Schizosaccharomyces pombe: one gene and its partner. The protein of the gene in region 1 interacts with the protein of each later gene in a pairwise test. Each region holds a gene or a part of one and is shown in the gene's direction. Other genes may lie near its edges. The genes, in order: trm734 and dys1.

What was found.
Region 2: the proteins of trm734 (region 1) and dys1 interact in a two-hybrid assay, tested with the Schizosaccharomyces pombe proteins (one large-scale study listed by BioGRID).

Annotation. Positions count from the first base shown.
Region 1 is NC_003423.3:1,179,124-1,184,921, forward strand, and holds trm734 (protein Trm734), read left to right. Parts: upstream 1-1,723; 5' UTR 1,724-1,920; coding exon 1,921-2,966; intron 2,967-3,019; coding exon 3,020-3,668; exon of another isoform or gene 3,669-3,721; coding exon 3,722-4,981; 3' UTR 4,982-5,127; downstream 5,128-5,798. Other genes in the region: mef1 (mitochondrial translation elongation factor G), read right to left, coding at 1-1,269; claudin-like protein Dni2, read left to right, coding at 5,304-5,798.
Region 2 is NC_003423.3:362,869-367,853, forward strand, and holds dys1 (eIF-5A-deoxyhypusine synthase), read left to right. Parts: upstream 1-2,215; 5' UTR 2,216-2,546; coding exon 2,547-2,762; exon of another isoform or gene 2,763-2,897; coding exon 2,898-3,674; exon of another isoform or gene 3,675-3,726; coding exon 3,727-3,786; 3' UTR 3,787-4,390; downstream 4,391-4,985. Other genes in the region: SPOM_SPBC1271.05C (zf-AN1 type zinc finger protein, involved in ER membrane translocation), read left to right, coding at 574-1,221; SPOM_SPBC1271.03C (NLI-interacting factor-like phosphatase family protein), read left to right, coding at 4,726-4,985.

The DNA of each region.
Region 1 (5,798 bases):
GCGTGAAACTTTTATTTTTTTTGTAGAATTGACATTGTAAATGTAATTACCCCGCTTGAGTGTACCTTGATAAATTCGCAAATAGGTGAGCTGGCCAAACCTTCCCTCCTCGAGTTTGAAAGCAAGAGCGACAAGCGGCTTCTCACTGCTAGGAACAAGGGATACTGGCTTTTCTGAGTCTGCTGCATTCAAAGCTATATTTTCGACCTCAGAAGGGTTGGGTAGGTAGTCGCAAACAGCATCCAAAACAGATTGAACTCCAACATTGGACAAGGCAGAACCCATTAATACAGGTGTAAACTTCCTTGCAAGTGTAGTTCTACGAATAGCTCCCATAAGCTGCTCAGGTGTAGGGTCTTCTTCCATTACGTATATATCAGCAATTTCTTCGTCTAAATCGGCAAGCTTTTCAATTAAAGCTGAGCGCTTTTCTTTTGCTAGTTCAATAAGATTCTCAGGAACCTGCTGAGAAATTTCGATTTTCTCACCCTTCGACCCACGATTATAAATTGCACGCATTTGTATAAGATCAACCACACCTTCAAGTTTGTCTTCTTGACCTATAGGAATTTGAACAGCTGCAGCGGGAATTTTCAATTTTGTGTTTATTTGCTGAATGACCTTCCACGGATCTGCACCCATACGATCCATTTTGTTAACAAAAGAGATCCTGGGGACATTGTAGCGGCGCATTTGTCGATCAACTGTGATAGTTTGCGATTGAACACCGGAGACAGCACAGAGTACCAACACTGCACCATCTAGCACACGTAAGGCACGCTCCACCTCAATGGTAAAATCAATGTGACCAGGTGTATCAATAATATTAATGTTATAACTTTTCTCAAAGTCAGTTTTTTGTTTTTCGTTAGCTTCAATCTGATCCACAGTACGTTCCCAAGTGCAATGGGTAGCAGCCGATTGAATGGTAATTCCTTTTTCCCGTTCAAGTTCCATGAAATCCATTTTTGCTCCGACATTATCCTTTCCTCTGACTTCATGAATGTCTTTTATCCTTCCTGTATAGTACAAAACTCTTTCAGTAAAGGTAGTCTTGCCGGAATCAATATGGGCAGATATTCCAATATTTCGAATTTGTTTAAGTCGCTTTTTATCGTTATCATTCAACTGTTCTTGGATATTCAAATTATTTTCTGATGTATTAGAAGCTTCAATGCCCGTATTTGCTACTGACGCGTAACCACGGACGACTAAAGTAGAAAGTCTGGGGAGGCGGCTTGTCAGCGACCTAAATGATAATTTTAGCATTTTATATTATTTCAATAGAATATAAAAACAGCCATGAATAACATAAACAATAAATTCCTAGCTTTGGGAACACGCTGAGGTGGTGAGAGTCGTCGAGCAAGGTGGGAGGAGCAAAGTCGCTTTGTTTACGTGTCGCGAGTTACCGCGGTAACATATTAAATTTATTTAAACGTAAATCAAATACTTACTTAACGCATTTTTAATGAATAACAAAATATACATTTTATATGGAGAATATATATGTATTTGCAATTGAATGTTGCTGATTATTTAAAAGTAGCTTGCTTATCGTCAAGAAAAAAGCGACTTCGTTCTGTATTCGGTATCTCCATGTTTAAATGATTCATGAGGCGGTCCAAGCATAGTACTTATAAAAGAAATACAACTATTTTGTCATGAAGTATTTTGGGCATTGTATCAGAAAGCGCGCTTTTCTAGTATCCACAATCGGTTTGAACCTCACCACCATCGCAATCTATTTCTACTACTAGGGTTTTTTGCTCTTTGCAGTTTTTTAAGCTGAGCTTATTCAATCCTTACTGCTTAATCGGTTAATACCATTTTTTTTCTAATTCTTCTCACGGTTTTTATGACGGCGTATTATATTTAGCTTGAAGAATCTGGACTTAAAAATCTAAGAAGGGTTTAAGAATGCTTGTTGAGGGTGATAAAGGTGTTTTAGAGCCAGTTAACTTTGTGGGTCCTGTTACTAGCTTGGCCCTTATTCACAATGATAAGTTTTTATGCTGTGCTCAAGGACCTTGTTTAAGAATTTACGATGTTTCTGAAAGTCGACACGAAAGTGATTTAATTAAATCAATTTTACTTCCATTTCATAATAGAATACATGGAATGCTTCCTTGTAAACAAGGATTATTTGTTTGGGGAGGAACCTATTTTGCAGTTGTTGATGTTGAAACGAGCCAAGTTTACTATGACCGTATATCTGACTGGATATTTAATGCAGCGGAGCTTGGTGAAGAAAATAAATTTTGCGTCGTTACATCGAAAAATCAAGTTCATCTTCTTTCGTTAAGTAAAGGTTCGTGGGAAGTTACAAATACAATATCTTGCGAGAAAACGCCTCTTTTGTTTTGCGCAACGGTACAAATAAGTGGAAATGAAATTTACATAGCTTCTGCTTCCGCTTTTCAGCAAATTTACGTGTGGAAATTCAATTATAACAATCCACCTTCTTGTGTTTCCATTGACACCTACCTTGTTGGACACGAAGGTGCTTGCTTTGATCTCAAGTTTTCATCGGATGGACGTTACCTTTGCTCAGTTTCTGAAGATCGTACCCTAAGGCTTTGGTCGATCGAGTCGTCACCCTTTTTAATAGCGACAGGCTTTGGTCACTCAGCTCGTGTTTGGCGTTGCGTGTTTCTACCCAACAAAGAAATAGCCACAGTTTCTGAAGATTTGACCTTACGTCTCTGGACTTGGAATGATAAAACGCTCACTAATACTTACACATATACTGGTCATCGCGGGAAACACATATGGTCACTAGTTGTCTCCTCTGCGAACCCAATAATATATACCGGTGGAAATGATGGATCAGTTAGGTCTTGGGATTACAAAACTCGTATTCAGGAATCCTGCATCTCAGTATCCTCATTGTTCACCTCAAAGACTTTGCTTGCTTCTTTTTGTTTTGTTAAATGTCAAAAATTATTATGCCTTGCCAAAAATGGGTAAGCGATTTGCATGCTATCAAATATTCATCTGTCTAACCCAATTAATTTAGAGAAATGTCAATTATAGATAATAAAGGAAAAAAAGCTATTCCTGCTTTGACTACCACATCGGACATGTCTATAATTCGTTCTTGGAAAAACTCTTTTTTTGTTGCTGCTGCCTCCAACAAAGGTACTATATATGTGTTTTCATATCAAAATACGAATTTATTAAAAGCTATTGATTTGCATAGGGGAAAGATTCAGCAACTGCTTACTTATCAAGTTAAAGAAAGATATTTTCTACTATCAAAATCATTTGTAGGAAAAAACCAATTTCGAGTTTACTTACAGGAATTTGATTTTGAAGCCGATAAGGTCAACCTAATTTCAACAATAGAACTGGAGTTGCCGGCAACATTTGATCCGACTTCTCTTACAGTTGATGAAGAATATTCAAATTTTTTAATTGGTTCTCGAACAGGATCGCTGGCTTTGTACAATATTGGTGAAAGCAACTACCTTTCTGTATGGAGGAGAATTCATGAATTTGATGCAATTTCATCCATTCACATCAAGTCGTCAAAACGTGATTACCTCTTAATTCAAACAGTCGGACGTGATGGTTATGTCAATTTATTTTCAATTCCGAGGGTAGAAAAAAGTGCTGTTCCTCAGGAGCTGTGTTCGAAAAAATGTTGTGATGGTATACTAAGCGGGGTGAGTATTATCTTTAAGAATATACGGTTCATGGTTCAGCTAACATATGCTAGGGTTTGTGTAAAAAATTAAAAAATGGAAAGGAAAATCAATGGGTTTGGGGTTTTCATGCATCAAATTTTTTTTTAAGGGATGAGACAAATGAAACTAATGTTTTCTTTATTGATTGTGGAGGTAGTCATCGTCCATGGGCTTTTTCAATGGAGATGGACATTCAAAGTTTTGCATCTTATAGAGCAAATCAACTTTATATTTATAGCACTGCTTTAAATCTTTTGCAAAGAAATTCTGTATTACAAAATGGTTTGCATGGGCGTGAGATTCGAGCAATGGATTTCAATCCTTCAGGGGATCTTTTATTATCAGGATCTGAAGATACTAAAGTAACCCTGCTTGAGTTTCAGAGTAATGGAAACATAATTCCTCTGAATTCTGTCAAGTTTCATAATTCAGGAATCCAATCGCTGACCTGGTTTAGCGATGATATTTTATTTTCCACTGGTGGTCTTGAAGAGTTAAATGTTTATAGGCTAATACAAAAGCCAGAGGCATATCTGAAACGGATCGTTCATGAAAAACTCTGCAAACCAAATAAAAGTAACAAGACTTACGATGGGGATCTTCGAATAACTGACATTTCTGTTGTAAAGGCAACCCATCTGGGTGAAAGAGTGTTATGGATTAATACTGTACAGTCCGATTCGACTATCAAAGCATTCACTTATAACGTAGATACGAAGCAGCTAAATTGTATAAAAAGTTGGAAATATAAGACAGTTTGTTTGGTTTTTGCCGAGGCTGTTATTTTCGGGTCTCATTTATTGTTGGTGGTTGCTTCGACTGATGGTAATGTTGCTATTTGGAACACATTTTGGAGGGATCCTCAAATTGAGCCATTAATAATTTGGATAAAAACAGTGCATCAATTTTGTGTTAAGTCATTAAATATTAGCAGGGATCAAGATGTGTTAACGATTTCTACGGGTGGTGATGATGGTGCAATTTCTCGATCTATACTTTTGTTAGAACAAATAAGTGAAAATTCAGTAGTAGTCAATTCTTTACATAACTACTTTTTTGCTGAAGCTCATGCTTCCAGTGTTACAGGTGTTTTATCAATTACCAAAGAGCTTTTGCTGAGTGTATCCATTGACCAAAGGATATTACTATGGAAAGTCGAGGGTGATTCATTGAAACCGATCCTGGAAAGATATACTCACGTAGCTGATGTGGGTGGCATGATCCGAAATAATGATTTTTTGATAATTTACGGAATTGGTTGCGAAGTTTTTAGACTGGGTTCTTTACGATGATTATTTGCTCAATAATGTCTACTACTCGCCTATTCATTCAGTTTACTCTTATACACTTCAAGGGACCTATCTTTTCATTTATCATGACGATGGTTTAAAAATAATAAATAATTGATTTGATTGAAAGGCGGCACAGCATTTATCGGTATTAAGTATGTGTAGTACTCATAATTTCTTTGTCCTCGAAGACAAAGAAACATAACAGTTACGTGTCAAAAATTTCTTTGTTTCAAAGTATTATAATAGACTTACATTCCATAATAGTTCTTCTATCCCTAAACTAATTTTGCTAAAGTAAACAATTTAAAATTACGGTTTAAGAATGGAAAGAGGAACTAGTAAATTCAGCTGGATTGGACTTGTTGCAAGAATATACAACTATATTCCTCATCCTAGTATTTTTTCGAATGCTATTTTAGGAATTGCATGGCTTTTTTTAATATTTTTATGTTGCAGCTGCTTAACGAAATCATCTATTTTTGCGAGATTACTAAGAGTAAAGAATGAAACAACCACCGTAGACGTCGGTTTCTTTGGAGTGTGTGATCAAGCTATTAATTCAACGTCTCGAGTTTGCCATGAGCTTCGAAATTGGGATCAAACAACTGGTGGTTTAGCATATGAAACTTCGAGATTTGCGTGGCTTCAAGTTCATCCTGTTCTCCTCGCGATTGTTGTTGTATTTTCAACACTATCCATTGTTTTGACTATTTTAAAGTACTTGGCTCCTGCATACATACGCCAATGGTCAATAAGTTGTTTAACTACTAGTACAGCCGCCTGTTTGCTTTTAGCACTCCAAATGGCTTTAGCTCAT
Region 2 (4,985 bases), 820 kb from region 1:
AAACGTTCACAAAAGAATCAATTGTCTTCAAAAATTGATCGCCTGCCAAGAGTTTCCATAAATATTTAAAATTGTGAATTTTGAGTGTTTCTCAAGTTGTTTACTTTTGCCTTCTACTTTCCTACTGTACTTTGATTTGTAATCATCGATTTCACTGTTAATCAACAAGTGAATCACATTTTTGTTTAAAATTCTAATAGAATTACCTTTCTTTCGAATTTCTATAACCTTCTTTTCACCAAAATTCCTTGCCTAAGAAAGGAAGTGTTTGATTGTTTCTTGAAATCTGCTTGCTTACTTCATCAACCGAAACGCTTCCGTTGCTAAATATCTACGCGGTTTCTTCTAAATTAAATTGAAAATTGCCTTTTACTGTTTTTTAAATCAGTGTTTCCTTTGCTACAGCTTTTATTTTTTTTTCTTTACTGTCTAATCACTATCGTATCCGGTACGTTTCTTTTCTTCCTTTTCTTTTGATTATTTTTCGATTTACTTCTCCTTTGAAAAGTTATTTGTTTCATTAAATATTTCTTGCTTCATCCTCTACACCCTTACTATTGTTTTTGTAAAATCATGGTCCTGCTGCAAATTATCGCTTCACAATCTTATTCAATTGAAGTAGACGAGCATTCTAGTCTTGGAAATATCTTTGATTTGCTATCTGATCAGGGAATCCTCCCAAAAAATGCAAAATCACTCCATGCATTTTATTACCATGGAACTCGTTTAAACATGAATATGACTTGCGCTGATTATGGCATTATCCACGACTCTGCCGTTCATATTGCACCATTACCTTCTTCATGTGACATTGATTTCAAAGACTACTCTACATCTGCTTTCCACTTACATTTTTCCCCTTTAACTCCTAATCATGCATCTACGGAAGCTGTGTCGAATTTCAAGCAATCCTCTACCATTCCCTCAATTTCTAAATCCAATTTAACAAACCCTCCTCTTGAATCCGAGAAGAGTTCTGACAAAGCATTACTTACCCGCCCAGCGACTTCTAGAAGACGTTGTTGCCATCCAACTTGCACGAGGATTACTTTGCGCCTCGCTGGCAATTGCTTGCATTGCAATGGCAGATTTTGTGCTGCCCATCGTCTTATGGAAGATCATGATTGCGTTGCTCTTTTCTCTCTCAGAAAGGAAGAGCATGAACGCAACCGTATAAAACTTGAAAAAGAACATGGTGATACCTTGATAAGTAAAGTTTAAAATCCATTCTTAACTTGAACATTTTTACAAAACACCATCTTAGAACTTTTTTTTCTTCTTCTTAAGCTGGAGTTTTATTATTACTGTTATCCTTATTATTATTTTTAATGTTTTAGCTGGCTTTGTTTGCACGGGAGGCCACGTTACCTTTCCCGTCATCTTCGTTTTCTAAATATCTTCCCTTTGACGCTCCGAATTTTATCGTTCCTATAATTTCAATCAGTAATGATGGATCCACGATTTTTTGATCTACTTTTTTTCCCTTTTCAACAGCAGTTACCTCATTTTCGTTTGCATTTTCTAATGTTTTATTTGACTGTTTAATGAATAATCGTACTTCCATTATGATACTTACTTTCTATTTTATTTTTTTCCCGTCTGCCAAGCAGTAGGCTTTTGACATTAGAGCCATGTGTAATTTTCATATGCTCTTTCTAATATTTTACTATCCTCAACTGTAATCGTGAGTTGATTTGGTGAACTCGGTACCTGTAATCAAGCTTAATTGTTTCTATACTACTCTTATCTCTGTTCGCCACATATCTCTTGAATTTACCATCTGGTATTCTCAAAAACTTTTATGAAAAATTCATTGCTTTAAGATCAAAATTACTTAACTCCAGTTGCCTGCTGATTTGGTGCAATGTTTTAATACCTAGTGTCAGCTAACTCATTTTTTTGTGGGTTTCTTGGACTTGACTATCTTGTTTTTCCGATAGATTGCTGAAATATTTTTAAACAGATGAATAAATCTTTGAAAGTTGCTTTAAAATTTTTTTAAGTACTTAGATTTAAACCAGTTATAATTCCTTATACTTGTAATGTAAAGCCCCCTAGCATTTTCGCTTATAGTCATTTGAAATCATGTATTCAACTCTTTTGGTCGGCATCCGATCAAGTAATTTAATCGCATCAATCCAAAATTTATTTTAGTGATGGAAATTTTCATTCAAGTCAGGCAATTCATGTAGATCGATTTTCTACGAAACCCAGTACCCGGAACGTATATCGTAAAAAGTCAACGAAAACTGCTTTGGAAACTTTTTTCTTCATTTTTTTAGCCTTTTGTTTAAAAATTTTCATATTTTGAGAGAGTAATTAGAATAATTGTCATCTTCTCTCGGGTTTTTTGATAAATTATAAAAATCAAAATTGTTGCTTAAATCATTCGTGTTGTTAGAATTTTTCTCCTCTACACTAAGGGAATTGAGTCTTATAATATTTGATTTTCTTTCATTAAATAGACTCATTTACATATATTAAAAAGCTTTTTTTTTTTTTTGGAATTATTCAGAAATTTACCATACCGATAATTATCGTAAACCATGGATGAATCTCTAGCAAAGGACGCCGTTTTTGTAGCCTCTTCAAAGCCTAGTGATTTGACAACTGAAGTCGTCGGACCAGATTTTAACAAGTATGATGAGAGAAAGAAGGCTGGAGGACCTGGCATAACAGTAGAAGAGTTGGTCGAGTCGTATGGAAAAATTGGATTCCAGGCTACCAACCTTCATGATGCGGTGACTATCATAAATGAGATGGTATGTTTAAAATGTAGTTTTTTTTTCTTGATATTCTTTTAGCTTTCATACGCTATTCTGTTAAAATTGTGAAAAAATATGACTTACTTTATGCCTGCTAGGCACATATCGATTGAGCAATACTAATTGTTACAGAGAAATTGGCGCGATCCCAATCCCCCCGAAGAGAAAAGTGATCGTGCTACCATTTTCCTTGGTTACACCAGTAACTTGATATCTTCTGGCGTCCGTGAAGTTTTGCGCTATCTGGTCCAGCACAAATGTGTAGATGTTATTGTTACAACAGCTGGAGGTGTTGAAGAAGACATAATTAAGTGTCTTGGCCCTACTTATGTTGGCGACTTTCATTTAGATGGGAAAAATCTTCGTGCCAAAGGTTTGAACCGTATCGGTAACTTGATTGTTCCAAACGATAATTATTGCCGTTTTGAGGAATGGATATTTCCCATCCTTAATAAAATGGTCGAGGAACAAGAGACTCTTGGTACTCATTGGACTCCTTCATCCTTTATCCGTCGTCTGGGTAAAGAAATCAATGATGAGTCTAGTGTTTTGTATTGGGCATATAAGAATAATATACCTATCTATAGTCCTGCTCTTACAGATGGATCGATTGGTGATATGCTTTATTTCCATACTTACAAAGCGACTCCTCGTCCATTAGTTTTGGATATTGTCGCAGATATCCGAAACATGAATACTCATGCTGTTCGTGCCAACAAGTCTGGAATCATCATTCTTGGGGGTGGTGTTGTCAAGCATCATATTTGCAATGCAAACTTAATGCGCAATGGGGCAGAATGGAGCGTCTACATCAATTCTGCCAACGAATTTGATGGTAGTGATGCTGGTGCTCGACCCGATGAAGCTGTCAGTTGGGGAAAAATTCGTGGCGATGCTAAGAAAGTAAAGGTATGTGACGCTATACTTGTATATAGCAAATTCTAACTTTTGATGTCTGTAGGTTTACGGGGAGGTGAGTCTCTTATTTCCTTTAATTGTGGCCGCTACCTTCGCGAAGTGAATTAAAATAATATAGAATTTAGCTTTATTTTCCTAGAACACGATTCTTATGGGGCGTTTGTTTTTTATACTGATCAAAAGCAAAGGCATTTCAATCTCCTAAAAAGTTCACCAATGTTTGGGTTTTTATAGAAAAAATTATTAAATATACATTAAAATGTTGCTTACAAAAAATCAATTATGTTTGTTTAATCATAAATTTTTTTTTACGAGAAATAATACTAACTTGTCATATTGTTTAGTTAACTGCCTAATGTCATTTTGGTTGTTTGTAATCATGAAGTGTCCGTATTAATATTCCTAATTAGCAACCGTTTAAAAACTACTAGTTTTATATTTCCTTGTCTTATGGTTTATCTCACAATCACCTTACAGCTAGCAGTTCCAAAATTCATTGTACAGCCACACGGATGAGGTGTCAATTGTGAAACATTCAGATTATGATCCACTGTGGCTAGGCATTAGTTATAATAATTATTCCCGTATTTCCGCGTATTTGATATGACCCGCCAGTTCGCAAATATAAACTTCTCAGAACTCCAGTTTACTTTCTGAACACCTATCAAAACATATAAGAGGTAGATGTGTCGGGATCACTACGAAACGCGCTAATTATAGAAGGATTGTAAGTTTAATCTTCGAAGCGAAGAAACAAACTAATTCTTTTACGGTTTTAGTCATTTCCTGCGATTATTTGTCGAGTTCCTTGTAACGTAGAATTTTAGTGCTTTGTATTGTGCTGGCTTCAAGTACTCGTTTAATATTCGTTGTCTACAAAGCTTTATATTGTTAATTTTTATCAGTTTTTGGCTTTGATATACCAAAGCACCATTTTCCAAACAAGTTTAATTTACCCGTCGAAAAAGTGATCGGGTTGATGCGCATCAGTCCCTCAATTTTCCACAGAATACAATTTTACAAAAAACGAACTTTAAACTTAATGGCACCAGAACCCTCTCTCACATATCTTTCGCAGGCCTCTTCTTGCAATGGTGCGACAGACAATAGGAAATTAGTTATTTTAGACTTGAATGGAACTTTGCTATGTCGCGCGCTTGCAGTCAGATCAGAAAAATCCGTATACGAAGCCTCTCGTAATCCTATTCCGAGACCGGGTCTTCATAACTTTCTTAAATACATCTTCGCCAACTTCTCGGTAATGGTGTTCAGCTCATCCAAACCGCACAATGTGCAAGCGAT